Mytilus edulis: one gene and its partners. The protein of the gene in region 1 binds, or shares a complex with, the protein of each later gene. Links are inferred from orthologs where the notes say so. Each region holds a gene or a part of one and is shown on either strand. Other genes may lie near its edges.

What was found.
Region 2: U4/U6 small nuclear ribonucleoprotein Prp31-like (region 1) and U4/U6.U5 tri-snRNP-associated protein 1-like share a complex: the UniProt entries of both Homo sapiens proteins name them as parts of the U4/U6-U5 tri-snRNP complex. The link is inferred for Mytilus edulis from reciprocal best matches to the Homo sapiens genes PRPF31 and SART1.
Region 3: U4/U6 small nuclear ribonucleoprotein Prp31-like (region 1) and U6 snRNA-associated Sm-like protein LSm3 share a complex: the UniProt entries of both Homo sapiens proteins name them as parts of the U4/U6-U5 tri-snRNP complex. The link is inferred for Mytilus edulis from reciprocal best matches to the Homo sapiens genes PRPF31 and LSM3.
Region 4: U4/U6 small nuclear ribonucleoprotein Prp31-like (region 1) and U6 snRNA-associated Sm-like protein LSm2 share a complex: the UniProt entries of both Homo sapiens proteins name them as parts of the U4/U6-U5 tri-snRNP complex. The link is inferred for Mytilus edulis from reciprocal best matches to the Homo sapiens genes PRPF31 and LSM2.

What each region holds. Positions count from the first base shown.
Region 1 is NC_092352.1:66,091,848-66,099,708, forward strand, and holds the start of U4/U6 small nuclear ribonucleoprotein Prp31-like, read left to right. Parts: upstream 1-4,465; 5' UTR 4,466-4,595; exon of another isoform or gene 4,596-4,627; intron 4,628-6,591; 5' UTR 6,592-6,621; coding exon 6,622-6,798; intron 6,799-7,861. UniProt on the Homo sapiens protein: Involved in pre-mRNA splicing as component of the spliceosome. Required for the assembly of the U4/U5/U6 tri-snRNP complex, one of the building blocks of the spliceosome.
Region 2 is NC_092346.1:24,006,763-24,014,677, forward strand, and holds the start of U4/U6.U5 tri-snRNP-associated protein 1-like, read right to left. Parts: upstream 3,202-7,915; 5' UTR 2,863-3,201; coding exon 2,652-2,862; intron 1-2,651. Other genes in the region: ankyrin repeat and SOCS box protein 3-like, read left to right, coding at 5,306-5,402, 6,264-6,362, 6,757-6,906, 7,668-7,915. UniProt on the Homo sapiens protein: Plays a role in mRNA splicing as a component of the U4/U6-U5 tri-snRNP, one of the building blocks of the spliceosome. May also bind to DNA.
Region 3 is NC_092344.1:14,979,308-14,987,525, reverse strand, and holds the start of U6 snRNA-associated Sm-like protein LSm3, read left to right. Parts: upstream 1-4,932; 5' UTR 4,933-5,017; coding exon 5,018-5,038; intron 5,039-8,218. Other genes in the region: transmembrane protein 209-like, read right to left, coding at 1,045-1,240, 1,468-1,676, 2,322-2,453, 2,961-3,019, 3,473-3,609. UniProt on the Homo sapiens protein: Plays a role in pre-mRNA splicing as component of the U4/U6-U5 tri-snRNP complex that is involved in spliceosome assembly, and as component of the precatalytic spliceosome (spliceosome B complex).
Region 4 is NC_092345.1:55,908,520-55,916,430, reverse strand, and holds the start of U6 snRNA-associated Sm-like protein LSm2, read left to right. Parts: upstream 1-4,526; 5' UTR 4,527-4,555; coding exon 4,556-4,558; intron 4,559-6,205; coding exon 6,206-6,273; intron 6,274-6,821; coding exon 6,822-6,912; intron 6,913-7,428; coding exon 7,429-7,557; 3' UTR 7,558-7,911. Other genes in the region: proteasome subunit beta type-1-B-like, read right to left, coding at 4,212-4,300. UniProt on the Homo sapiens protein: Plays a role in pre-mRNA splicing as component of the U4/U6-U5 tri-snRNP complex that is involved in spliceosome assembly, and as component of the precatalytic spliceosome (spliceosome B complex).

The DNA of each region.
Region 1 (7,861 bases):
TAAGCAACCAACAGTCAATATTTCATCACTATTTCAAACCATTGAAGGTGACATGGAAACTAATATGATTGTCAGTGAACTATAGAAGTTATACTACTAAAAAAGCAAACAGCCTTATATCATCACTATACCATCATCATACACATACATGAGATACTTGCCACTGGGTTTTAAGCAATCAACAATATATAATTCTTCGCCAATCGTATCAAACCTTAGAAGTTACCATGCAACCTGATTACAAATAATATGATTGTCAATGAGCTACCTATGGAAGTAATGCTAATATAATACAACAGATCGTTGGCGTTTTAATGGGCGGAGTTGCCTTCCTGGAAATATTTTATATTGCTATATTTGACAATGACCATAATAATAAACAATAAAATAAAGCAATATCTTACAAAAATAATATCAAATTGCACAAAAGAACGAGAAATAATGGATTTAATATATTCAAAGAAGATGGTGAACAAAAACTATTTGAATTTAATTCCTTTACAAATTGCGAGAATTATTAGAAACAATAGCAACATGTACAAAATTTGTTTCTGAATATATTCTGTCTATAGATATTCATTGGTTATAGTTCTGCCAAATTAAAATATTTTGATTCTTTCAGATTAAGCTGTCTGCCTGTGAGGCTTACTTTCTTTTACAAATGTTTCACCGTCTATATGATTCTTTTTTGTTTCTCTTGATAAACTTTATTTAATTATGTACAATTAGATATTCACTAGACAGTATTTGTCGGCCTCTGATGAGGGTTTACCTTGGAATATTCCTGAAAGAACCCGAAACATTGCATATTAAATTCTATAGAATTAAGCAATATAAAGTACGTAGTGTCAGGTCAGAAATATTGATGCCATACCATGAATAAGTGGATTTATGGTTATTTTATACACCAAACAAAAAAAAAGCTACTTTCTCGGCATTTCTTTTAATTTAAAAATTAAAATCTGGTAATGATCAGTTGATATTGCAAGAAACTTTTCTGTACCGCATTTATTTGCTAAGGTTTGCTTCTTAATTACACAGTAAAATTATATGTGTCCGATTTTCCAATAATTAGTTCTGTAGCCCGAGTTGTGACTGGATTTACAGGTGTGCGATTGTGCAATTTATTGCCCTCCAATTAATCACCTGAAATTAAGCTGGAGGTGAAGTTCTAAATGGATTATCACTTGGTAATTGTTTTTACAACTAAACAAATTACTTTATTTAAACAGAAGCACTGGGCAATACTATGGTATTCAATCCGGAAAAACAATATATGTCACGGTACATATATATTATATATATGTGTGTCTCTGTTAATGATAAAAAAAAAATGCACGATTTTTTAATATAAAATATTTGATATAAAAAAAAATATTTTGTTATATTAAAAATGATAAATGATGCATTAATATAGAAATTAGAAAGTAAATTATTCTACAACGACTTGCCATGTATATGAAATTAGTACCAGTTATAACTTATTAACTTTGTCACGGTAAAATTATTATAAGTATAATAATTAATGACTGTAAACTTGCATGTAATATAATTTCGTCTCAATTTTTACAGATAAACAGTATTCTAAAATACTATTACTTGCCGGTTGTTGAGATCTAGCTAGACGATCAATTTGACTTAAACGCGTTGTCATTTGAATCGATGGATATGATTGGACAAAATTAATTAGCATTGTCGATAACCTATTGTGATTGGGTACATATGAATTGCTATCGAAAACAGGGCGTAAATGCATTTACGAATCGCCCGTTAAACTGCAATTATCCAATAATATGGTTCCCGCGTTCCTTTATTATAGATTGTCGACTGTTAATGCATTTATGATCGATAATGATAGATTGTCGACGATAATTTCGTAAATGCATTTACAACCGTAAAGTATACTTTACGCCGTACATCTATAATGGTCGACCGATAATCTATCATTATCCCCGATAAATTGTGATTATCTCATTTATGTGGTTCCCGCGTGCCATAGGGGTATGTAAATACTTAAGATTGGGAGGGATTGAAAGAGAAAATAATGTTTTATTTCTTTTTAAAGACTTGTTGTACTGGTCAAATAGAAGTGCGCTCATGCACTTTTCTCTTTTAGTGTAGTTTCTATTTTCTTTAGAAAATTGTTATCATTTAAACTTCTGAAAGTACTAAGTTGTCTAAAAATTAACAAGTTAACAGCTTTTTCTTGTAACTGATTATGTGCTGCTGCTTTTTACTCTTTGGTCGGGTTGTTGTCTCTTTTGCACAATCCTCATTTCCATTATCAATTTACTTACATTTTATAGACGTTTCGCTTCCATTCTTCATGAGAAATTGTATTTCCAGTCTCAGAAATGCATAATCAGCATTTTTTTAATGACGTTCTTTTTTTTATTCTTCTTTGTGTGCATCTTTGCTGTAAAGCCTCTGAAGCCTGAGGTTCATGAATATGGGTCATTAATTTGACTTTAATGGCTATGTTTTCACCTCAAAATATAATCACATTTCAGTAAAACAAACAGACAAAAACTGTGCATAGCCGGAAAAGTTTAAAAACTTGTCACGCCATGACGCCCTTAAGATAGATATAATTCCAATGCATTAGAAAATTGAAAACTTAAACGGATTTTGCATTGTCCAAAATAACTTAGCCTTTAAAGAAAATTATGTCAAGATGATATCCAAAAGTAAATTTGGTAAAAAACAAAAATGCTGTTTATCCATATTTTTCTTATTTATAAATGACTTAGTTTTTCTGACAGTTAATTTTACATTCACTGTCTGTCACGGGTTATATTAAATAACTTTCTTAAACTATCCTGGTCTATCCTGGATTTGTTCCAAACTTGGACAGAAAGCTTGTTGAATAGATATGATCAAAGCTAGTATCTAGAAGGAAATTTTATAGAAATTTGTTTTTCTTTTTTTTCTCCAAATTTTACTTTACTGTAAATGAACTTAGTTTTTCTTCCAGTTAACTTTACATACAGTCGGCAGTTAAATTATTCCCTTTTTTTTTTTTTTATTAAATTCATAAACCATCCGAAATTTGTGCCAAACTTGAACAGAAGAGACCTACAATCAACAGATAGTTACTAGAGGAAAACTAATGTAAAAATCATTTTTTCTTTATTATTTGTTCATTTAATAAAGTCCATATGCGGATCCAGGCCCCCCCATTTCGTGGGAAAAAATTGGTTGATTATATAGGGAATCATTGAAGCATGACTGGAGCGGGCCCCCTCTTAGGTCAGTCAGCCCCCCCCCCTTAGGAAAAGTTCTGGGTCCGCCACTGAAGTCAGTGTCTGCGCGTACCCGGAAATTATCACAATAAGTGAATCCCTGTCGCACTGAATCATAGACTACAGCAAAAGTAGACAAGAGACACTAGGTTCCGCGGAATCCTTACAATTTTTTTACATAATCATGCGTGTATCGATCGCGACAGAGTGAATGTTTTTTTGGCACTGGCTACGGTAACATGGAAATGTAACAATAATATTACAATTATTGTTACATTAGAGGCTAATTACCGGAATGCAGGGTTGGGTAAGGAACCGATTAATTACGAATGTAACAATAATATATGGGTCCACGGTTACATTGCGTTATTGTTATGTACTAGATAATAATAATTATATTGTTTTTCAAAAACTTTTTAAGTATTGATTGTTTTGATGTTGTTAAAGAAACTACTATAGTTTAATGGCACTAAATTGATGAATACTTAATGAACTAGCTGTTTAATAGAGCATTTATTTTCACCAAAAAGAACGAAACTACGATTACAAAATATCTGGAGTCTGAAAATGAAAACATTGTTTCCACCATTTTCAACCTGTCGGCGAATTTCAACATTAGTTGCTTTCACAGTTGACTTGTATTTAAACAACCTTTGACAAGCTTCCAACAAAATAATTGGTCGAAAATATAAAAATTTCAAGCGTAAAAAAAAATCACCTGCAGGATAGCAGACATTGAAAGTTTCTTTAACCTAAAAAAAGAAGAGGTGCAGAATGGAATGCAATACATGGAGCATGCACATTGTCGAATCACTTATTTGTGATGGCTGTTTAGAGGGGTTTCACAAAAAAAATGCGTCGGACTTAAAGGCTAAAACATACTAAATACAACAACATACTGGATTTGTAGAAACAGTCATTGTAAATAAAAAATTGAAATATTGTATGCATGCAATATTTAAATATCAAATACAACTTTTCAAGTTTCATTCTAATACTTATCACTATATATAGGCCCATCGTACATTAGAACTAGGGTACATCACAGTCTTTAATCACGGTAACAATAACGCAGGGTAACTGTAGACCGAAATATTATTGTTATATTCGTAATTAATCGGTTCCTTATCCAAACCTGCATTCCGGCAATTAGTCTCCAATGTAACCGTAGCCAGTGCCTTTCTTTTTCCCCCGGAAATTATCCGTCACCAAAAATTAAACCAGGTATTACTTTTTAAGGCAATCCCACAAACGTTTTGATTACGAAAAATGGCAGCCCCCATGTAAAAATTTAGTAGTGGCTGTTTATGTTTATTTCAGACGTATTTTGAGGAATTGAAATCCAGATAATTGGTAAAATTACAACAATTTGGCATAATCATAATGTAAATATTTAAGTTTTGACTCGAAAGTTTATTTGTTGTGCTAGCTGTTGTAGACCTTTAGTTATAAAGGTGGTCTAACTTAGTAACTAGTTGAGTTAGGGAAGATCCTCTTCTTTGGCTCAATTGGTTAGAGCGTTGCCTTAATATCCCAAGATTGAGGGTTCGAATCCCGTTGGTACCATCCATAGATTTTCATAACATAGCTTTTTGAAGGTTTTATTCCTTGTTTGAACAATTTATACCTTAATATAAATATAAAAATTTTAATATATACGGAGACGTTGGAGTGATTGCACTTTGTTAGTATTGTATAACTTACAATTTAAGTTCATTTATATGTTTTGGAGTTGAGTATGAGCTCAATTTTCACTGAACTAGCATACATTTTTGTTAACAGTGGAGTCCCCGGTGTCCGCGCCTCCCGTGATATCGCGCATTAGCTGATTTCGTCTTATATTTATATCAACACATTAAAACATACAAAATCATTCTTGTTATTGTTTTAGCCTTCCGAAGGGATAAAAAAGAATAAAATTGATAAGTTCAAGAATTAATAATAACTGCAATTCCGTGATTTACCACATTTGGTTAATTTCCATTTAAAAAGTTACATCATCAGATAAAATTTGTTATATTTAACCCTTTCCTCCATTATGACGCTTTTTGACGCCACCCCCTTTACTCCATAATGACGCCTTTTGACGTCTGTGTAGTACCTCAGTTGAAATGCTTTGACTACAAAATGTCTGCATCAGACTTTAAACAGTTTGTATCCAATATGAAAAGAATATTTATGAGAATATCTGACTTGAATTTCATTGATGAAATATTCGTTTTCACAATGCATAAATACTTTAAACCTGATGATTTTTTTTATTGAAAAAAATCCTTATGCGAATCAAGTTTGTGAAGAAAAAAAATCCATGGAGGAAAGGGTTAAGTCATATTAATATCAGATTGAAATAATTTTTGCTCTGCATCCTTGGAAGTGTGTTTGGTACAAACTCAGCTATATTTCGTAGTATAAAATCTTTTTTATTCCAAATAAGCTATTTTTTTGAAGGCATGCGCGAAATCACCAGACATTAAAGGAACTCTCAGAACAGGGGTTTCCCTAATTTTGGACACACATTACACAAAATCTAGAGGATGAAACCATACAAACAAAAGATTTTATGAAATAAAAGTATGTTATGAATGTGTTCATGAATGAACATGTATGAATGCGGATACTCCGGACTGCACCATACATGATTTAGCAGGATAGCTGAATCTGCCTCCAGGTGAGGATTTTCTCGTGATATTGAAGACCAATTGGTCAGGTGTTTATCAGCTGTTTTCTGCTCTTTGATCGGGTTGTTGTCACTTTGGTACATTATGATGATTCCCTATTCCATTCTCAATTGTATGTATAGTAATGCAATAAACATTTACACAAGTGACAATACTTTATATAATAGACATGGGGTAACACAAATGACAGAATAACACCATTATTATCTGAATAACACTTGTAATAACTAAATAACACTTGAAATTTTAGTATTAGCACATATTCATGATATTGGTGACTTTTAAACATTCATGATTGATTATCAAATAATATTACATTATAAGAGTATTTTATACATGTAACTTAAAAATGATTTACAGAAAACAGGTAAGTTCATAAAGATCTTTATAAAGTTTATATACATTTAGTGTGTACATGATCAGCCAACATGGCGACCAAGGATATCATAACGGTTGCCATGTTGGATTTACACACTATAGAAGAAGAAGATGCTTTATTTCCATCAAATGGGCTCACAAGGAGCATAATATAACATCATTATATATTTATTACACCTCGATCACCACATAAAAAAGGTTAATCAGTATAGTTCAGTTGGAATACTGAAAATTAGACATGTACATGTTCTAATAGATTTCAGTCATGCACATTTATATTTTTTGTATTTTAGTTCTAAGTTTTTGAGAAACAGTTAAACAAGATGTCTCTAGCAGATGAACTTCTAGCAGATTACGAAGAGGCAGGAGGGGAGGCAATAGAAGATGAAGCTGATATTGAAATGACTGATATTTCTGAAGTGGCTGAAGTCTCTGAAGAAGTTGACTTCTCAACAAAGGACTCTGTTAGATCTGTAGCAAAACTAAGGGATAGCCAAAAGGTATACAACTTTATATGATGACTGAAGCTCCTTAAAATCCACCCAATCAGCAGGCTACAATTTACTTCTTTGTTCTCAAAAACCACAAATGTAGTTTCAGTTTAAATCATTATTTAATATATGCCGTTAGCTACTATATATTACATTGAAATATTTGATAAGCATAGGAAACCAACTGACCTCAAATGAATTTTTATGTATGCACATATATAGCTGTTTCATAGTGTGGAGCTAAATAGGTTCAGTTCAAGTTAGGCATACATTGTAATGATTTTAAACATCCACAAATGCCTACCTTCTTGTTTCTATTTAACATATTTATTTATATCCCACATTTTGATATGATCTGACCTGAACAATTTGCTGTTAAAATCTGCCGGTACATGTAGAACCGTAGAAGCTACTTTGACATACTTATTTGACTGTAAGCAAATAATTTGTGGTAATAAATATTTTACATTTATTTCCCATTTCTGTGGGAGATATGAAGATTTGTTCACCCAAGAAAATTCTTATTCCGAGGGCCCTGCCCGAGGGAAATATGACTTTTCAAGGGTGAAGAAATCTTTATATCTCCCTAAGTCAAGGGAAATGAATGTATCATGTGTATATTCCACTGCCTATACTTTGTTTACTACTAAGTACCTGAAAATAAAATATTCATTTACATTTTTCCAAACCGCTTGTTTTCATAAAAAAAACATGAGGTAATTTAAAACATTGATAAACAGTACCGATCAAAAGATAATTATATATTAATTTTGTTTTTATTTTACGTCTAAAATAATTTGTATTAAAGAATAAACAAAGATGTGAGTTAAATTGTTGTGATTTTATGAAAACCTTTTAACAAATACATGATTCAGATATCAGAATATGAGCACTCTTTTTGGGAAAACTCAAGTAGTCACAATATTTGAATAATTGACACGAAAAAACTTCACAGTAATGTCAGAATTTACAGTATTTGAATTTTGTAATTGCCTTATATTTTTGAACAAGTTAAAGATCAAGATATTTTTTTTAATAAAACATAAGTATTTTGGATATAAGGAAGATATGT
Region 2 (7,915 bases), on another chromosome or scaffold:
TGCCCCCCTCATTTTGAACCTCTAAAGACATATATAACACAATGTTTAATCTTGAGGATTTTATCTGAAAGAGATAAAGCAAGAATGAGAAATTTGCATAAATTCAAACATGAACTAGAGGCTCTAAAGAGCCTGTGTCGCTCACCTTGGTCTATGTGAATATTAAACAAAGGAAGAAGATGGATTCATGACAAAATTGTGTTTTGGTGATGATAATGTGTTTGTACATCTTACTTTACTGAACATTCTTGCTGCTTACAATTATCTCTATCTATAATGAACTAAATTGACTATAAAGGACAATAACTCCTTAGGGGGTCAATTGACCATTTCAGTCATGTTGACTTATTTGTAAATCTTACTTTGCTGTACATTATTGCTGTTTAAAGTTTATCTCTATCTATAATAATATTCAAGATAATAACCCAAAACAGTAAAATTTCCTTAAAATTACCAATTTAGGGGCAGCAACCCAACAACGGGTTGTCTGATTCATCCGAAATTTCAGGGCAGATAGATTTTGACCTGATAAACAATTCAACCCAATGTCAGATTTGCTCTAAATGCTTTGGTTTTTGAGTTATAAGCCAAAAACTGCATTTTACCCCTATGTTTTATTTTTAGCTATGGCAGCCATCTTGGTTGGATGGCCAGGTCACCGGACACATTTTTTAAACTAGATACCCCAAAGATGATTGTGGCCAAGTTTGGATTAATTTGGCCCAGTAGTTTCAGAGAAGAAAATTTTTGTAAAAGATTACTAAGATTTACGGAAAAATGGTTAAAAATTTATTATAAAAGGCAATAACTCCTAAAGGGGTCAACTGACCATTTCGGTCAAGTTCACTTATTTGTAAATCTTACTTTGCTGAACATTATTGCTGTTTACAGTTAATCTCTATCTATAATAATATTCAAGATAACCAAAAACAGTAAAATTTTCTTAAAATTACCAATTTAGGGGCAGCAACCCAACAATGGGTTGTTGGATTCATCTGAAAATTTGAAGGCAGATAGATCTTGACCTGATTAACAATTTTACCCATTGTCAGATTTGCTCTAAATGCTTTGGTTTTTGAGTTATAAGCCAAAAACTGCATTTTACCCCTATGTTCTATTTTTAGTCATGGCGGCCATCTTGGTTGGTTGGCCGGGTCACGCCACACATTTTTTTAAACATGTTACCCCTATGATGATTGTGGCCAAGTTTAGTTTAATTTGGCCCAGTAGTTTCAGAGAAGAAGATTTTTGTAAAAGATTACTAAGATTTACGAAAAAATGGTTAAAAATTGACTATAAAGGGCAATAACTCCTAAAGGGGTCAACTGACCATTTTGGTCATGCTGACTTATTTGTAAATCTTACTTTGCTGAACATTATTGCTGTTTACAGTTTATCTCTATCTATAATAATATTCAAGATAATAACCAAAAACAGCAAAATTTCCTTAAAATTACCAATTCAGGGGCAGCAACCCAACAACAGGTTGTCCAATTCATCTGAAAATTTCAGGACAGATAGATCTTGACCTGATAAACACTTTTACCGCATGTCAGATTTGCTCTAAATGCTTTGGTTTTTGAGTTATAAGCCAAAAACTGCATTTTACCCCTATGTTCTATTTTTAGCCATGGCGGCCATCTTGGTTGGTTTGCCGGGTCACGCCACCCATTTTTAAAACTAGATATCCCAAAGATGATTATGGACAAGTTTGGATTAATTTGACCCAGTAGTTTCAGAGGAGAAGATTTTTGTAAAAGATTACTAAGATTTACGAAAAATGGTTTAAAATTGACTATAAAGGTCAATAACTCCTAAAGGGGTCAACTAACCATTTTGGTCATGTTGACTTATTTGTAAATCTTATTTTGCTGAACATTATTGCTGTTTACAGTTTATCTCTATCTATAATAATATTCAAGATAATAGCCAAAAACAGCAAAAATTCCCAAAAATTACCAGTTCAGGGGCAGCAACCCAATAACGGGTTGTCGCATTCATTTGAAAATTTGAGGGCAGATGGATCTTGACCTGATAAACAATTTTATCCCATGTTAGATTTGCTCTAAATGCTTTGGTTTTTGAGTTATAAGCCAAAAACTGCATTTTACCCCTATGTTCTATTTTTAGCCATGGCGGCCATCTTGGTTGGTTGGCCGGGTCACGCCACACATTTTTTAAACTAGATACCCCAATGATGATTGTAACCAAGTTTGGTTTAATTTGGCCCAGTAGTTTTAGAGGAGAAGATTTTTGTAAAAGTTAACGACGACGGACGACGACGACGACGACGGACGACAAGTGATGGGAAAAGCTCACTTGGCCCTTCGGGCCAGGTGAGCTAAAAATGTGACTTCGGATCGGCACAGCACATAGTCATCAATAAACCTTATCGCTAATCCCGGCTGACCCGGCCGCTTGAACTTTTGACGCATACAACAATCACTTTTCCATTGTGGCGTCAGCTATTTTGTTTTATGACGTCAAAATTTTATGGGAACCTGTGTGATATCCAGTAATGGCAGACAAATGGGGATAAGGTGTATATAATTTATGATGGAGTGCGGAAACTGAAAATAGAAGACACTCGGCAGTAAGGGAAATCAGAAAATAATTTTACATAGATGGAAGCCAAATTTCTTGACACCTACCAACATCTGCTAGAACTTTTTGTAGTGGTGCTCGATTGTAGTCATCATAGTTTTCATCATATCCTTCGTGAGTGTATTCTTGTTCATCTTCATGTGGTTTGTTGTCTTTTCGACTGTGTTTATGTCGCTTTCGTTCTCTCGATCGAGATCTGTGACGGTGTTTTCTTTTGTGTTCACGGTCCTTTTCTTTGTGTTTTTTAGACGACCCCATGACGGAATATACACTTGAGATCTACAGCATTAATGGGTAAAAACAGATATTTATTTACGATTTCTGTTCGTTGAATTACCGGAAGTTAAAAAAAACTACAGTAAAGTGTATAAAATAATGTTTTATAATGGGTTATGCCAAACTCAAAAGCGTCTTCTATAAAACAAATAAAAAACATAATTCCATAAATGGTTAGTATATCTAAGAATATATATTCAAAACTACAAATTGCAAAATATATTAAACATAAACGAACACTTTAATGTTCTATGAATGGTAAAGCTAATAACCCGGTCTACAGACAGACCATTTTGTGAGATGTGGAAAATCCATACAAACTAAAAGTAAAGTTGCTGTCTGACAAAAATAATGCATGCAATATGAATTCTCTTATTAAGAATATGAGAGGAACAAATAGCAATGATCAGAAAGAGCATTCAACTTTATCCCTTTTGACTCTACATGCTCTTCTCAAAAACCTATAGAAGGTTACAAATAAAAAGGTAAATTTGACAACTGGACTTTCATTTTTATACAGTACTTAATGAGGATAGGAATACCCATTACCGTCAGCCATCAAACGTTGTGATTTGTCAAAATATCTGTATCATGGTTCTTTAGAGGTCTTAAATGATAATCATTAATGTTATTTTTGGAAAAAAATAACGTGATTCTTAAAAATTTGTCATTTTTTAATTGTCATGCACCAAAAATTAATGTTGACATCATTTGACAAGTTTTTTTACTGTTATAAGTCACGAAGGTACCCGATTACAACTCTTCGTAATAGACAATGATGAAAGAATTTAGTCATCAGATGAAAAGATAAATAAAACAAGCTAATAATTATGGCTCATTCATTCAGTAAGTTTATCTGATTAAATCTGTTTTTCAGATATGAGGGGGGGTAGGAGGGGTCCTGATCCCAAAATCCTGGGTTTAAAAACACGAAATCCCGAAATTCCGGGCTTAAAAATATGAAATGCCGAGGTCCCGAAATTCGAAAAAATAATTCCTGGATCCCGAAAGGGTCAATCCCGAAATCCCGAGCTTAAAAACACCCGATCCTGGAGTCCTGATAAAGGTCCTATCCCCCCTCAGATATTATAAGCAATAGTAAGACTTTTATTAGTGTATGGTGTTCATACTACTCGTCTATATGATCATTACCTCATTTACATCGAGCATTGATAATGCAAAGTTGATATGAAAGTTTATGTTAAAATCTTAATTTTAATTTTATTAAATTGCAGTCATCTCTAACACTGACCCATATGACCGCACTTTTAAATATCAGTCTGCCAGTCATCATAAAAATCACCATAAAGTATATTAATGATTGTTTTTTTATTGAGAACATCTGTAATATTTATATTTCTTTTTATAATAGGTATCCTAATTTTTGTTTTTTGTTCATGAACATTAAAATGTGTTTTAAAACTGTCTGAAAACACACATATTTATAGGTTTTTACCCTGTGAATATACCACTGTCACTCTAATATAATTATAGTCAATTTATCTATTGTCAATTTATTGTTTCAATACTGTATGCCATAACCATGATAACCATTTAATGTAAATGTGTTAGTGCTAATAAATATTGTCTATTGTCTATTGTGATACGGTGTAAACCTTTATCTTTAAGACTTCAACATACTGTGGATTAATAATTATTTGTGGGATACCAATTTTCGAGGATTTTGTGAGTACAGGCAAACCATGAAATTAAATGTTCAATGGATGATAAAATTTTATGTAGGCTTGTATGGCATGTATGCAGACTTCATCAAAACCACAAAATTAAATATGCAAGCTTTCCTTAATCTAGAAAAATAGGTACCCTCGAAAATATATGAATTCAGAGTATATATTTTGTTTATTGTGCCCAACATTTTCAGTTTACAGACAAATTTATTTTTATTCTGATGACAGATGCAGTACAACAGTAAACTAGATTTTTTTTCATTTACAAATCATTTACACATTGCTTCATTTGTTATCATTTGTTGAAAGTTATGGTTATCAAATAAATTGTCTTTGATCTTGTTTTTTATGAACAATGTGCTGTTATTTTAAAAATTTCTTAATTTATGACAATCTGATTGAAATACAGAGTATGTATAAAAGAAGATGTTGTATGATTGCTAATGAGAAAACTTTCCACAAGAGACCTGGTGCCCAAATGTTACAGAAATTAACAACTTTAGATCACTGTAAGGCCTTCAACAATGAGAAAAGGCCATACCGCACAATCAACTATAAAAGGCTCTGTACACATAAGAATTTCTAAGACACAAATTTGTTTATTAAGAAAAAATGTACTCAAATACCAGAAATGACTACCGGTAAGCTATTGTGACATGTGAAGATACAAATGTATAAATACATGTAACATGTGAACATCTACTTCCATTTTTTCATTCTGATAGATTTGGTATGTAATGGATTTCAATGAAACCTATCAGGACACATGTTCTTCAGTAGGAATAGCAGCTCGTAATGGTGACCTTGGTCTGGTACAACAGTTAGTTTGGCATGGTATGTTTTTTTTAACAGCAATACTTCAAGTACTAATTATTGAAAAATCTTAAGGTATTTTTCTTCTGATCCGAGTTGCTGTTGACTTACTAATTAACCGTTGGTATGTTGTCTCCTAGAATTTTCAGTTTTGTATGAAGATGTCTCATTGAATAAATAATCTTACATCTCCAATTATTCATACCTAGAAAATTTAATAATAAAGAGTTGTGGTATGATTGTCTATTAACAAAAGCTGCCACAAAAATTGTTTGACAAGATATACACATGATTTAAAATGCCTTCACATTTAGAGGTTATGATTCTGTTTTCAAAAATGAATAGAGATACCTGAAGAAAAGCCATAAAACGACTTGTTAACGTCTTGTTAACTAAATGTTACATTACAGCAGCAAATAAATACCAGATCACATTTATTTACAAAAGCAAACCCCAAACTAAAACTTCATTGATCAAATGTATGGATTTGTTATTAAAGGCCTCAATGAAAATTACTCAATTTTTAAGTTCATATTCCTTAAATAATATATGTACTGTAGAAGTTACAGTACATATATTATTTAAGGAATATGAACTTAAAAATTGAGTAATTTTCATTGAGGTTACAGTACATATATTATTTAAGGAATATGAACTTAAAAATTGAGTAATTTTCATTGAGGCCTTTAATAACAAATCCATACATTTGTAGACATTCAAGAACAAAATAGAATATTTAAAATTATATACAATGATTTATTCCCAATTTTACTCAATTTTTTTTTTAAATTTAGCCACCTAGAAAAAGTCTACTTGTGATAACTCACATACTTATTATAAGTTGTGATTTTAAGGTATTTTATATATGAAATGATGTTTCAGGTCGTCTAGTAGATGTACGAGACAACAGAGGATGGACACCAATACATGAGGCTGCTGCTAATGGACACACTGGCTGCTTGGATTTTTTACTGAGGCTAGGTAGTTATCTATTACTTTGTACAGTTAGGAAAAAATAAACTATAAGGAAGGGAATGCATGTTTACTTTTTTATTTGAATTTACATTATAAAGATGGTTGGCTGATTAAATATACTTTTGTTGTACAATTCATCTGCTAATTAATAATGAAATCATTTATGACAGTGACCTTAATTTTTTTTACTGCATTCACTTTAAAAATGGAATACAACCCTCACTGAGAAGTCTATATAACATGAATTTTGACCTGTTGATAAATTGAATGTTGTGGACATATGCTCTTGCAATTAATATATTCAGTATTCAAAATGTTTAAACTAATTACCTTGTATCTACTAATAAACAAGGTATTAGGGTATACAATATATATTTAAGAAAAAGGATATTTCTTTCAGATGTTGATGTTGAGTGGAAAACATTTGAAGAGGAGACTTCATTGTTATTGGCAGCCAGAGGTGGCCATTTTGCATGTTGCAGAGCTCTTATTGGATATTCTGCAAACGTAAACACAACAACCAAGGAAAACTTTGCTCCACTGTGGGAAGGTAACTAAGCATGTTATGGGCAAACTCTTTATAGATGCCAGGATTAAAATTTTGTACACCAGACACATATTCCATTTTCAATAGAGTCATCAGTGACGCTCAAATTAAAAAAAATAATCAAAAAGGCCAAATAAAGTACAAGTGTTGAAAATCATTGATGACTCAAAATTCTGAAAGGTTTTACCTAATAAAGCTAAGGTAACTTTGGGGTGAGCTAGCAGGGTAATACCTGTAAAAAGGAAGTAGTCACTCCTTTTTGTATTGAAAGGGCAAGGTATGTTGGTACTCAATTTTTTTTTATACTGTCTTTAGTAAAGGAATTACATCAACTTGTTCATGTCTTTCCTTCCGTCTGTGTGTCTATACGTTAGTTGCTCTATCCCACAAAATTTGGTAGTGTTTTGCACAGAACCTTCAAATTATAGTTTTCCTGGAATTTGATGGGACCATGCTATACTGTATGTGGCATTTTCAAGAGCATCACTTGTCAACTTTCTGTGTGCGGAATAATTTAACTGTTTGCTGGACACTTAAATTTCACAAAGACTACAAATCAAGCTTCATTTGAGCATGCTACACTGTTGTGCTTTCAAATCTATGCTTATCAAAAAAATAAAATTCATTGAAAATACTTATAGTGGGGGTACCTTTTTATGAACACTTGCTCACATTTCAACTTGAAAACACTGTATATTCAGAGTTAAATGAATGCGTTTATGAGTGTAAAGACACCAGCATTCATCAATACTTTATAATTTTAGCTGTAAATGTGGATAACATGGATTGTGTAAAACTACTCCTGAGGAATGGAGCACACATAAACCATCAGATCTACACAGGTTACACTGCTCTACACACTGCTGCAGAGAAAGGTCATGCAACTATCCTGGCCTATTTAGTAGGACATGGTGCCAGACTTGACATTTGTGCTGACGAGGAACTAACACCTGTTTTCTTGGCCTCACAGTTTGGTCACAAAGATTGTCTTAGGATTCTTCTAAAAGTTGCT
Region 3 (8,218 bases), on another chromosome or scaffold:
GCTAACAATACTTCTATACAACATATATAGTTGACCTATTACTCATAGTTTAAGAAAAATAAACCAAAACACAAAAACTTAACACTGTGCAATGAACTGTGATGAGGTCACGGTCAAATAAAACCTGTGCGACTGACATAAAGATAATAAAATATTTCCATACACCAAATACAGTTGACCTATGGCATATAGTATTAGATAAAAAGACCAAAACACAAAATCTTAACTTTGACCACTGAAACATGAAAATGAGGTCAAGGTCACATGACATCTGCCCGCTAGACATGTACACCTTACAATCATTCCATACAACAAATATAGTAGACCTATTGCATATAGTATGAGAGAAACAGACCAAAACACAAAAATTTAACTATAATCACTGAACCATGAAAATGAGGTCAAGGTCATATGACACCTGCCAGTTGGACATGTACATATTACAGTCCTTCCATACACCGAATATACTAGCCCTATTGCTTATAGTATCTGAGATATGGACTTGACCACCAAAACTTAACCTTGTTCACTGATCCATGAAATGAGGTTGAGGTCAAGTGAAAACTGTCTGACAGACATGAGGACCTTGCAAGGTATGCACATATCAAATATAGTTATTCTATTACTTATAATAAGAGAGAATTTTCGTAACATGAAGCATCTATATACAAAGTATGAAGCATCCACCTTCTAAAATATAAAGCTTTTAAGAAGTGAGCTAACACCGCCGCCGCCGTAGCCGCCGCCAAATCACTATCCCTATGTCGAGCTTTCTGCAACAAAAGTTGCAGGCTGGACAAAAACTACTTCTAAAAATATCTTTCTTTTGTATTTTAGGTAATATCATCTCATGTATCCCTTTTTTCTTCCTTTAGACATTCTATTTTTCGTCTTTCTTCCTTTCTTTCGTCCTTTAGCCATTATATTTTTGTCTTTCTGTTAAAATTAACTTTATAAAAACCAAGTGTTTAGTATATTGAATATAAACCTTTTTGGCGATATCAATATAAAGTATTGAGAGTTATATATACATCTTCATTTTACCTGGAGAAGCCTTGAATGAATTAGACATGGACCTCCTTCCTCGCAGTCCACTGGAATCAAAACTGTTCTGCATTCCAGGTGAAAAGGAACTTCCTGGTGAGAACGATGGATGATGGGTAAATCCTGATACATTAGGAGACATGGAGGAATTGTGAGCAAATGATGTACCAGGACTAATACTGCTGAGATTCTGAACCTTAAATTAACAGATTTGGAGAATCATTAGCCCATTATATTGAGAACAACTTAATAATTAAATGTAAGAGCTTTTCAGTATTTAAATAACATAGATATTTAAAATATCTTAATATTTTCAGCTTTTATCTGTCATGTTTATATTAAAACTATGTTTGTAATTACATGTAGTGGATAATGAATAATTCAACAAGAAAATATTTCCTCTCCCCAAACAGGTAAACATACCCCACTAATATTTGCTGCTGGTGAACTGTAAGTTGAATATACAATGGAGTGATTACTGAAGCTAATGGGCCCAGACATATTTGTAGGTGTCGTCTGTCGCTGACTTGCTGTACTAGAGAAACTAGAATGAGCTGAAGGTGTACTAGACAGCATTAAACTTTCTTCTGATGATAAATTCAATTTCCTTGGTGAAACACTGAATCCAGCATCTGAAAAATAGAATCCAAGCTGTAAGTCTTGTAATAAATAAAGTATAGTGTAAAACTGTAAATCCACTTGTTTTGAATCAATCTTTCCGTATTCCTTTTTAGGGTTTTTGCTTGTTTTGCATGCTTTTAGCCTTGATTGTTAGTTTTTAATTTTTTGTTTTAATATTTATTTTAGTATTGACCTTTTATCTTAAGGTAGGCATTTTTGTTTTATTTTTTATTTCAGTATTTGAATTTGACACAGAATGTACAGTGCCTTAAGAGTAATTCTTTTTTTTAAATAGGGCCCTTGATAAATTTTCATTATCATTATTTTTATTATTATTATAAATCTACAAAGCAGTGTTCTTAGAAACATATCTAGATGCATTGGTGACCCACAATGTTTAACAACACAAGGTTTTGTTTAGTTTTATTATGCATCCTTGAATGAATAAATTTATAACATATAAGTTTAGTTAAAATACAGTTTAATGATTGAGTCATTCTTAATTTCAAAATTTTAAAACAGATTCAGTACTATTCCATACAGGTCCAAGGTTTGTTTAATTTTTCAGTAATATATTTTACTTTTCATTTTTTTTTTCATAATAAATTTCATCTGCTACTTCACATCAATATCAAACAACTTAACCATTCATTTACCTATATCTCTGACAGCTAGGAGTTTTTTCTGCCCTGGAGTCATCATTACAGACTTGGTAGATACGTATGGTTTAAGGTAAACAAAAAAGTTGGTCACACTGTTTAATAAAAATATCACAGCCAGAATACATTCTGAAAAAAATACAATATAAAGTATGATTTTATTCATTACTTTTTTTATTAGTATCCTTTATGTCATCATGCATATGTCATGGTGCAATTGTCAATGTTAAATTTGCATTGTACGGTCTTCGTCTCAGGTACTACAATTTATAAGCAATAGTCAACTTACTTTATTGGGAATCTACATCTTAATAAATTTATCTTATATCCATCAATCTGAACTATATATCTTAGCACGCTTATTTGTGAGCAATGCCTTCAATAAACATTTTTTTTTCTAAAATATATATTTAGTGTTGTTTCTCAATCACTACATGTGCTTTTTTGTCTATAATTCTATAATACCTGCATTTTTTCAACACATATTTTTTGCATGTTAACTCTTTGTATGTATTTGTATGCATTTCTTCTCAAGAATGGTATTTTTCACAAATACACCTGAAAATGATATTTTTGTTCATTTCTAAAAAAAACATGAATAAGTGTCTGCCAATTCATTCTTTTAGTGTAACTTACCAAAGTACCATAGTACAGGATGTGTGATGTTTAAACTAGATCCTATACTGTTCAGCTGCCTGTAAAGAAAAAAGTTCAAAAAATTAATAAACAAATCATAAAGGCCTTCAAATAAGTGTTCATTGTAAATTTAAATTATTTATTTACATTCTCCCTTATATAAGTCAAACTATTTGATATTTTAACATAAAGTTTTGACCTACAATTTTTTTTACTTACAATGGTTTACTTTTACAAATTGTGACTTGGATGGAGAGTTGTCTCATTGGCACTCATACCAAATCTTCTTACATCTTTATCTCATTGTCATTTCCAGTTGCTATCACAAAGCTAACATTATTGGTTCATGACCTTTCTCATATTACATGTTAATTTCTCTATAATGCTGCAAACTAAGACACTGTCATTGACTGGACATTAAATACTTCACCGCATTTAATCTAAAACTGATATCATAAAGTCTTATTAGAGATTCAAATATTTAATTTAAAACATGTAAAATTGGTTCTTACATTTCCATGTACATCACTATAGCCAAAATGATATTTACACAGCACCAGAAGGAACTCTTTCTTGCCTGTTTCCATGACTGCCTTTTATTCCAAGTCTCATTGACAACTGGATCTGTAACTGTACCAATCTTTGTCATCCTGCTACCTACAATTAACATTATATCAATTTAGTTTGCTCTATTGATCTTTATGTCATCACTAACAAGATATTAAAATTTGAACCATATTAGTTTAACAGTTAAATGTAAATGGTAATTATGACACAACAATGCATTCTTTAAATAGAACAAAAACCTGTGAGACAAGGATAAGTAAACTTCATGAAAGTCTGTCTGTCTATCTAGATCTATCTAAACTATATAGGGGGTCTCATTGGGGGGTTCCAATCCCGGATCCCGCTTACTGTTTTGTCAGATTCCTGTATCCCGCTTACACTATGTACGTAAGCAATTCTCATTTTTTTGTCATTTCCCGGGTCCCGCTAGACCTCATTTCCCGTTTTCACGAAACAATTACTTGACTTTCACATGTCACGCTTACAAAAAAATCGGCAATCCCATGTCACGCTTAGACCCCAATGAGACCCACTGTATACACAGTAACCTTATCGCTATTTGGAAATCGGTCCCCCTTGACCTGAGAATCTGTTCTGCTTGAACTTTTGACGTCATACAAAAATCACTTAACCATAGTAGCGGCATATTTTTACAAGAATTTTGTGATGTCCAGTAATGTCAGACAAATATAAAGCAATAGCAGATTTAAGGTGTATTGATCTGACTGTCAGACATAACTAGTATGTCAAATTGATCTTAATTTGTCAGACCAGGAACATATCAATAGATTACTGTTCCTAGGTCAGACTTTAATCTCCTTATCAGGCTTTATATGACAGAATAAGATGATGCTTTTTCACACAAATTTATACCTGGTCACAGTGTTCGACTGTTGGTCGCTGTCAAAAGTGTCATTTAGTTACAGAATAAAAACTATAAAAATAAAAAGGGTGTATTTGTTTTCAATAGGTTTTATGAAGGACGTATTCTAACAACAATCAATACCAGACGATTTATGTCAATCGTTGTTATTGTTAATCAAAACATGCCGCCTCGGCTTCTTCAAAGTAAACTTCCGGTATAAATCGAGTCGTATAAAGGCCAACTCGTCCCTACAGATTTCGCTTGATAACTATTTTATATACAATCAATGTATTTTAATGACACAAATGGGAATAATGCAAATTAAAAAAAAACAACTGTTTTTGAAGGGATCAATCTATTAAAATAGTTTAATATGCAAAGGCGAAATTGGAAAGTCCCGTTCAGAACAAAGCTGTGGTACGATTAAGTACCGAAAACTCATGTATGTTAAATTTCGAAAGATTTTGATGCAAAAAGTTATATCAGCATAATAAATTTATGATTTCATTATTAAGTGGTTTTATTCTAGCACAACATACACCCTTTATACGCAATTACATTATTAATGAATAAACACAAAATGAACTTAGATTTTGGGTTATAAGATCAGACCAATAACTCGAAGATGGCTGATGAACAAGAGCAGGTGCGTTTGGACGACCAGAAAATTTGTGAATTATGTGTTTTCGAAATTTTACTAAAGCTGTTACACATAAAAATGTTCAAATTAATCAATCAATTATTTCGAATTTCATTTAATTCTCAGTATTTCTTTATTCTAAATGTCTTTTCATAAGAGTTTAGATTGTTGACTACTGAAATTGATAGAATTTGTGACAACTCGCCCCATATCTAACATGTATAATCGGCCCAACAAATACCTGCTAACTCACCAACTAGTATTCACAAAACATCTGTCAGATGGTGTTGTAATTTCTGCTTCTTGGTACAAAAAATGTATGTTTTTGTATAGTTTTAAAGCCAGCAAATACGAATTAACTCATAAAACTCTCTCTCTCTCTCTCTCTCAGCATTGGTAGCGTGAATAAATAATCAATAGTAAAAATGATGCCTGTATTAAACTTCTAGTACAGCAGATATATTTCCATACATCCATTCGAAAAACAATATATAATTAACATATGGGGCGGAGGTACTAAAATAACATTCTTTCTCTTGTATTTTTGTACGGACCAAATGGGATTATCTTAAATTCTACACTGACAATGTAAATAAATGCAAGGCATACAGCTATCTGCGCTGCTTCTTACCTCTAAACTACGACCCATATTCATAAGATAAACGGCAAACATACACCTAAATACGCTGCTTCTTACCTTTAGGAACCCCCGGGTGCCTTGCTGTAAGTGAAATGAAAATACATCAAGGAATGACGAACGTGACATTACACTGTTACTTATTTGAAATTACCGGAAGTAAATATTCTAAGCAGGAAGAAAAACATTACGTCCAACATTGACATAAAATATAGGAGTCTTCGACTCAAAATTCTTGTAATAATTAACTCTTATGAATAAACAAATCTAGACATATTTATTCTTCCAGTTAAGAACTCATACAATGTAAATGTACCATTTCTGGTTCACGCTTTAATAATATGGACTCAACCGTTAGGTTCTGAACAATACATGACAAAGTTGCGCCATACATTTTTGTACATGTATATGACGTTATCGATACAGCTAATAACATAAAGTAAAATGTACATTATTTACTCCTTCAATATATATACTAAACACTAGAAATAACTTATGATAACTTTATTAACTCTCTTAATACAATAGTCACAACATTCCTTTACTTGGGAATACCCAGTGCACACATTAACAACAGATGGGAAACACAGGTTTTGTTTGCTGTAAGCACACATACTTCTCATAGACAGTAGTCCAAATAATTGTGGAGTACCACTTATATAAGTGATTTCATTATTACCTATTTCAGTGGTTTGATAATATCTGTTATCACCTGTTGGTGTTTCCTTTAATCTTGGAATGTATATATGTAACTTTCATCCATTTTCTATATTTTGAGAAATTTTTCTTCAATTTCTCTACATACATCAATTATCCCTTTCTCTTGTACCGGTATATATAATTTCAGTTGGTGCACTTGGTCAGTAATTAAGTGCTCTAAAGCTTTTAAAATTACCCTTGGGAATTTGTCTGTACGGGTAATCAATTATTCATTACTACTCTTACAAACAGACAAAGGTAAGCATTTTAAGTAACCTGATTGGTCTTTTTTCAAGTTGGGCAGCAATCATTTACCTTCAAAAAGAAGGGGGATATATACAGTTTGTTGTTTGAGCCAGAAAATTTCAGTTGAAAGTCCTGAACATACATAAGATTCAGATATTTGCCACTGGATATTGAGCAACGTACAGTGAGTCAATCAGGCCAAAATATATAGATAACATCTATAAATTTGACACCATTAAACTGGAAGTGGCTCCTTTACAGGCCTTCCAAAAAATATTTGAGCCAGCCGGACATTTGATATCTGATTCCGATTTTAATCCCTTAAGACTTAAAAGGCAATTGTGGTAATCAGATGGCCATTCCAATGATTGACATTTGATTAGAAAAAAAAAGCATTTTCAACTTTACTTTGATATGAATTTGATATGAAACTGTTAATTTGGCAGTGCATCATTCAAAGTGTGCACATCAGCGTGCTCATATCTGCCTTACACTCTTTATTTGTGCAAAATGACATTCAGTGACATTATTAAAGGGAAATCACACTATTGTTTATACGCATCGCTATCGGGGCCGCTATAGTGTCGTAAAGTTCTGTATTATGACGTCGCCGTTTTCGTGTCCGTCGTAAAGCTAGTTCTTATTTTAAAAAAAATAGCGAGCCGCTCGAAGGGACGTTCCACTAAAGCAGGAGAAATGATAATGAACATATGATATTTTTTACAACTGTTATAATTAAAATAAAAATACGTGTCCATAAAAAAGGGTCTGATTGTATTGGGGTAAATTTACGGAATACAGAATAATGGGCAAATACTGCAGAATAAAAGACAAAAAACAGAAGATTAGAGAATGAAGCTTAAATATAAAGAATAAAAAATATTGGAAACACTAAATAAATATTAATAAATGAATGACCCTCTATCCAGACCCTTATGATTAAAAGAACATATCAATACAAAACACATAATCATCATGCATAATCACCACTAAGAACGATGGAAATTCATAGCATATTCAATATGATTTAGTACCCTCTCGGACCATTTTCTCGAAAACGAAGTCGGTGACAAATACTTTTTTTTGGCAGCGTATCGTCGCGATGCGGTATGTAGAGTTCATGGTATATTTTCGGGGGGGGGTGGGGAGAGGGGTACAAATAGACCAAGAGTAGCAGCATGTAAGCGTACACTTCCGGAATCTGTAGTTTTCAGTCCAACAGAGGAATGTAAATAGGAACAATGAGTTTCGACCGTTTTCTCATATAACATGCATGAAACGTCATAACTATAGTTTTCTATACTACATGTATAAATAATTCATCAAAAATCTCATTTCACATTTATATTTATCCGGTGCAGCCTGTCGGGTTAATACAAAGCAGGGTCAAAATTAATATGTTCTAGTTCTGAATACTAGTATGCATTAAACTTGCCACTGGACGTAAATTATGTGTGACGTGCTATTTGAAATCGTAATTTATTTCACATGTGACGGCAGAAATTATCCAAGTGTCGTCCATCTTTCCCGAATGTTCCTTTGACATCTAATGCCTCTCACTTTTTTTTTGGGGGGGGAGGGGGGGGGGGGGGTATGAAAACAAG
Region 4 (7,911 bases), on another chromosome or scaffold:
TTCATTGGGGGTACTTTTATCCTGTTCATGAAAAATAACAGTAAAAATTCTTGGCAAATGACTTGAACGTTAATTTTTGGTGCATTTCAGTCAATTAAATAAATAATTTCTTTAGACAATAAAAGTGAACTGATTTTGACAAATCACATTATTCTTTTTTCCGAAAAATAACGAGAATTATTTGAGAGTTCTGACAAATCAGGATCAGGTTATTTGACAAATCATAGTTAAACTTTAACCAATTTGACACTAACTGTATAACGTAGCAGAAAATAGTAGTTTAAAGTAAGGATCTGGAAATTTTTCCATACAATTTTGGTCATTTTGAGATGATTGAAAAGACTTCAGCTGGTGCCCCTTTTCAACTTGACTAGATTCATAGAATTGACAAACTTGTATTGCTGTTTCATTGCATTTACAAAGTAAATGTCTTACCATTTCCTTCGAGAACAGTATAGGGAAGGCAACAGTTTAAAATTGAAATGGTTTTAATGACTAAAACTGGTTAATTTCCAGACACTGCTTACGTTTGTTTCGGTTTGACTAAATTAAAACCGGACGTTTTGCGATCAAATTAAAGTACATGTACAATAGTTCTGGATTCATTTCTGGATTAGTTTTGTTTATCAAATTGACAGGAAATCACCGACTTTTTATTGTTATTTAACTCAGGCCTCTACAATAACTTTTTTTTCAACTTGTCCAATAGGACAAGTACATACCAAAACTTACTTGTCCGAATGAAATTGAAACTTGTCCCAAAAAATATTAAGAATAACCTTTTTTGCATAATAAGTAGATTCAAGGAACAAAATAACTAAAACAATAGAACAGAAGTTGATTCCACAGTGTTTGATTCATACATATTATGTATCTTTTGAAATACTTTTAAAAAATATGAGTCGGAACAACTGAATCTAGTTTTGTCACAGGTTCTAGTTTTCATAAATGCCAAAGTCTTATAAGACTAGGCAGATGATCAGGAACCGTCTGATAGGCCTGTCAATGTTTTTTTTAACTTGAAAAGTGTATTTAAATGCAATCAATAAACAAGAATGTGTCCATAGTACACGGATGCCCCACTCGCACTTTCATTTTCTATGTTCAGTGGACCGTGAAATTAGGATAAAAACTCTTATTTGGCATTAAAATTGAAAGATCATATCATAGGGAACATCTTTACTAAGTTTCAAGTTGATTGGACTTCAACTTCATCAAAAACTACCTTGACCAAAAACTTTAACCTGAAGTGAGACGAACGGACGCACAGATGAACGGACGAACAGACAGACGGACGAACAAAAGTACATCATGTACATACCAGAAAACATAATGGCCCTCTACTATCGTAGGTGGGGCATACAAAAATGAAGATGACTTATGATTGAGGGTTTGGATGGGGTTAAATGATTAAAGAATAATGCCCTTAAAAAATGAAGATTAGAGAAAAAAGGGGTACATTTTTTGAAGATTAGAGAAAAAAGGGGTTAATTTTTTAAAGATTATAAAAAAAAAGGGTCGAAATTAAATGTTTACAGAATAACAGACCCCCCCCCCCCCCCCATCCAGACCCTCATGATTGCCAATGAGACAACTCTCTGCAAGAAATTAACAACTATAGGTCACCGTATTGCAAGTATTGTTTTTTACTACATAGGATCAAATATGATTTAGTGAATTTTGTGGTACACAATTTCTTCATTCATATATATGTAAAAAAGTATTTTTGTTGAAAAAAATACCGGTATAATTTATTTTAAAGCAACAGAATAAGGTAGAAAAATGATGTTCATATTTGTCTTGGTCCGGGTATGTTACCAAACTGTCTATTAATCACGACTATTAAATATGTCTTGTACGGTGCCAAATTGTCTATTAAAGTTGGAGCCGAACCGTTTCAGCTAGTGATGAACTGTCTTGTAAAGTTACCTCATCTGCAAAGCGCCGCTGATTCGAATCAGTAAGACTGGTTTACGAGAATAGTATGTCTTTTACCTGTTAAAAAGTACCTGACAAAGAACCAGTTTTAAATATTCGATTGCAAGTAAACATGTAAAATTAAAACTTTATTTTTCTCTTCTCTTCTTGTTTTATTGATTATAATTACTACATGTACGTTCATCAAATTTATTGTCTGCAGAATAATTTTACTTGTCCCATCGGACAAGCTTGATATAGCTTTTACTTGTCCGACCTTTTTTTGCTCTGGTACCGGACAATCGGACAAGCGTTATTGTCGAGGCCTGTAACTTAATTACCTTTAAAAGTGTTTGAATACAACATGTACAACAGATAATAGTTGCACTCATTAAATTTAACGTGAATTCAATAGACCACTTTCGAGTTCATCCGTCACCGGAAAAAACTCGTCAATTATACCCGCCTTTATGACGTCATTTATCAGATAGAGGGGGTCGCCTGTATCCCTGCACTATTTACGTTCATCAAGCGTCTTAGTGATAGTCATTGTGCAGGATAAACAAGAAAAAATGGTTGTTCTGTAGGTACTTAATGACAATTCCCTAATGACAGCAATGCTGATTGTCAATTTTGAGAATTCAATTTGCCGAATAATTCGTACAATAAGGAATTATAGTTTTCCAACCAATCGCTCAACATTGGAACGGAAGTGACGACGCCCCTAAACGCACAAATGACGTTCACTAAAACCAGAGTTTTTGATGGAAATGCATCTAACTCGAAAGTTGTCTATTTGCATTTTAATATTAAATTTGCTGAAATCAATTTCTTGCATGTGATACATACATGTATGAAAAAATCTTTTTTCTATGTAAATTAAAGTATAATTTTAAAATCAGAATTGATAGCCCCACAGGACGCAATTACGACTGGACACAATTACGAACGATTTCCAATGTTTGCCCTCTGAGATCATATTTGTTTATATTTATCAATAAATGTTTCTATAAATAAAAACCCTATTAAAAATCCCTTGTTTTCATGATAATACAATTTATGGGCACTTGGTAAATGTTGATGACGATGACAAAATCATTCTGAAAATATTATAAGAACGGCAATCTGACCTGGAAGTTATGTAAAAAAATACATAAAGGTAAGTGCATATTGCCTTCTTTTGTTAATATATAGAAAGAAAAATATCTCCTGATTCTGTTCATATGCGTGATGCCTTTTATCATGCCCAAATAACCGCACAATTGACGTTTTTTAGACTCTTCAGTCTTGTGAACCTATTTATGGCCAAAAGAAAATATGTTAATTTTATTGAAAAGTCCAGAGAACTCCGAAAGAAATGTTGACCAATATAAAAAAAATCGTAGATGAATGACAAGTACACCACCGAAATGGATAAACTTGAATTTAGTGCTCCTTTAAAGGAGGAACTTACACAAAAAAAAAAAAAATCAGAAATCTTTCCTTTACACATGACCGACATTTCGTCTGCAACCACTGCTGAAGTATATTGAAGTAAAAAACAAACTTGTGCTTTTTATTTTCCTATGAAAATGAGTTTGAGATAAAGATTAATGTATGCTTTATCAATATAGACTGTTGTCATTGATTTCTTCTGCAAGATATATCAATGTAGTGCTGTTCGGAATTGCGTCCATATGTGGCTCTCTTGACCCGTAAAACGAGGTCACGCAAATCTTACTAAAGTAACCCAACGTGCATAAAAATTTATGTGGGATATGATGCAAAATGGAAAGCCTTCATACATCTTAAATTCTATGGTATAAAAAATTCAAGAAAAGTAGTCTACATAAAAACAATATTAATCACAGTTCAAAAATCGTTCGTAATTGTGTCCGGTGAGGCTAATTGTCTTTGACGAAAAATAATTAAATAATGATTTGACTTGTTTACAATCCCTATATCTGGATTCCGGTTGAGGCATGAACAACTGGATGATACCACCAAAATCAGGATACGTAGATTGCAGGTCTGAGTGGTGCTAGTAACATTATGGTGTACTCCCAATGTATAACTTGGTCATGACAACGTTACTCTTATGTTGAAACTTGTAACCATGTAAATAAAATCAGCAAATGGACAGACAAGGGGCTTGCTTACAACAACGCCTTGTTCTCAGGTTGATAGCTGTTTCATTGCTAATAAAATGATTGTTTCAAAGAACATAGTTATGTGAAAATGACTTGAATGTGCATCATTTCAGTGATTTACTTTCTAATATATATGTGAATTTTACATGAGAGAAAATATAATACCCTCCATTCTGTTCATAGGGATTGAAGTATGCTTGTTTAGGAGCATAATGTGACTCCTCCTGATTTATATGACTGAGTACAGATGTCATTTTCAAGTTGTCTGCTGTGTATGACAGTGCTATTTTCACTTTACAAATTATGATCTCGTTGAAGTCACGTGACAACAAAGACCGGCTATGCAAAATCTACTTTTTCTGTTCTTTTAAGAAAATTTTCTGATTGTCATTATAAATTTTGGAAACATCAAATACAAAGAAATATTATGGCTGATATATTTATGAATAAAGATTGTCCTTATTTTTCATTGTAGTGAAATCTCCTTCATGACGAGATAAAAATCCAAAATGGTGGGTAAAAGCATGAATGAAAATTTTACATTTTGATTTTCATTTAATAACGTTCATCTTTCAATTTCTAAGCTGTGCCAGCCCATCAGCTCTATTTGACACTATAAAGTGTATAGGAGGAGTTGTGTTGAAAGTCTATCCATGGCCTCAAGTTGTTTATTTTACTATTTTCTGCTTTATAAAATTCGGGTGTCACTTTGGTGATTAGTCCAAATAATTATGACGTCTTGAAAGGCTATTATAATTTTTTTCTTTGACGCCTTACATCGACGTCGATGTAAGGCGTCAAAGAAAAAAATTATAATAGCCTTTCAAGACGTCATAATTATTTGGACTATATGGTGATGAGCGTCACGCATTCACTAATTAATTCCAACTACCCCACAACTTTTAGTTCGACACTGCAATAGCCCGACGACCTATAAGTCTGACACAGGTCGTGTAAGAACATCTTCTTCATGGAAGCAGGACAAATCGCGCCACTTTTTCACCAACTCGCCCCATTTAAAAAAAATTCTCGCCTCAAACTAGTTTACCAACTCGCCCCACTTGTGAAAACAGTTAAATCCCGTTATTTTTTTTCAGGGAAACTCGCCCCACTTATTAATGAAAAAGGTAAAATCTAGATGAATATATAATTTTCTGGTCTACCACCTCGCCCCACTTAAAAACGACTAGTATGAGGGGGCATGACTCGATTCACTAGGGCTTTTCTATTTTACACAAGTGGGGCTAGTTGGCATTCACGTCTCGGAAATACTGATACTCATTTATTTCTTCTTTATTTCAACAAAAAGAAAAGAACTACAAAATAGATATATAATTAGATGGGTATGAGTGCCTATGAGACAGCACTTCATTCAAGTCACAATTAAAGGCCCCAAAACGACAAGTGTAAAACCATTCAAATGAGAAAAGCATGTTTATCTAAGGTTTGCATAGGTATTGATTTTAATTATGAGTGCGTTAGGAACATAGATATATACAACGGGATTACATCTTTTGCATCAAGTGGGATGACTTTGCATTATTATATTCATCAGGATTTACCTATTTTTCACAAGTCATTATGAATTTTGGAAACATCAAATACAAAGAAATATTATGGCTGATATATTTATGAATAAAGAGTTGCATTTGGCAGACCTTATTTCAGAGGGAATTTTACCCTTTTCATATAAGGAGCAAAGTTATCCAACATATTTTCAAAGGGAATTGCCCTTTTTCATAAGTAAGGCGAGTTGGTAAACAAAAGAGGGGCGAATTTTTCAGAAAGTGGGACAAGTTAGTTAAAAAGTGGAGCGATTAGGTGTGGGGTGATTTGCCAGTGGGGTGATTAGTCATGGATTCTTATTCATAGATTTCCAATAGACAATCCCCGAGGTATTGACTAAACATCTTATCCCTTTTGTTTCATTACTGGACATCCCTCAGGGTTCCTTTAAAATTTTGACCTCATAATACAAAATATCTGACAGTAATGTGCTATTGCTTACATCCTTCTCATTTGCTGTCAGACTCAGAGCTTATTAAAACTGGAGAAAATTGTCTCATTGGCAAATTCAAATCACATTTCCATAATTTAAATTGAATCAAAATATGAATGAATTTATACATGTTAATCATGTTTATTTTTTCTGATTTCAGTTGTTTTACTCTTTCTTCAAATCTTTAGTTGGTAAAGATGTTGTTGTGGAACTAAAGAATGATTTGAGGTAAGAAGCCAAGAATAATAAAGACAGATACTAAAGTTGCTTACATTCACAAGATTTGGTCTAACAAATCATGTAGGTGGAAACTTGTCTTATTATTTTTATCATGTTAATAAACATCCCAGGCCCTAATTACAAATGTACAAACTGGTTGGTGAACTGCATTCATCTTTTGCTTTGTCCATAGCCTTTGTTTCATATTTCTTTTCAGAATTATTGGAAAATTTGATATTTGGTCTTGATCTTAATAATGAACTTGTAATGATGAGCCTCTTTCTGCATGTTGATGTATTTGACAAAACTTCAAATACTTTGTTGTTCCAGTTAAGCACAGCATTTCTAAGACAGTAGTCTGAAGTACAGGAACAATAATAGAACTAAACATAACTGCATAAAAACACATGAGCATTAGCTTTAATGAAGAACAGGAACTATATTCCAAAATTGAGATTTTATACACCATTTAGTATTAAATTATTTGTCCATACCTATACTATGTTTTGTAATATTTTTCATGTATAGTTTTGCTTTAAATGTTATTTATTTTGTAGCATATGTGGTACATTACATTCAGTAGATCAGTTCCTGAATATTAAATTAACAGACATACAGGTGACAGATCCAGATAAATATCCACATATGGTAGGTCTTTTCTTATCAGTTAGTAAATAATTACACTTTACATCTATATTGCTGATCAAGTGTCTGAATAATACCCAGAAAGTGTTCAATCATGATTGCCTAAATCAGACCAAAAGTTGCACAAAAGAGCTCAAGGCTGGAGATACTGAGGAGACAAAAAGCATAATTCAAAAAATGATACACTTAAGATGATGATTTATAATTATGATACTATTTACTGAGAACATTAGATTATAAGCAGTACATGTATTAAAGTTAATTTACACATCCAAATCAAAACAAGAAAAAAACGTTTGATATATAAATAGACATATGTACTTTTGGGGAAAAGTGTCTGATTTGTTAGTTTTAATTGAAGGGTACTTTTTGAGTGAATCTTGAAATTCATAGAAAACTGTAACTTGTTTACTTTGATATCTTTAATAATTATATATACAATAAGTAAGATATAAGTAATGTAACAGAAAATTGTCAGTATAAAATGAATTGTTAATAGTAACATGCTCTGTTTTTCAGTTATCAGTGAAGAATTGTTTTATTAGAGGTTCAGTAGTTAGATATGTACAGTTACCTGCAGATGAATGTGATACACAATTGTTACAAGATGCAGCAAGAAAAGAGGCAGCTCAGAATAGACAGAGATGAATAAGCAGTTGTATTTATTGGTGCAATAACTATGTAACATTGTTTTTATGAGATGGAATTCACAGGAACAATTCTATCAGAAGTCCTGACTCAGAGTTCTGAAACCTCAGGAACTATTTGTGAATAATATTTTATACCGACTTGTATTAACGACTGTGTTGATGGAAAAGATCTATTTTGTAGTGATGTAGGTCAACACGTCTGGTTTTGAAACCAGATATACTTTGTATCTTGAAAATAATTATTGACAAGTATGAAAGTTCAAAATAAAATGCTGTTTTATAAATCAATATTGGTTTTTTTAATACAGAGAATGAATCTCATATTTCAACATTGATCAAGATACTTTTCATT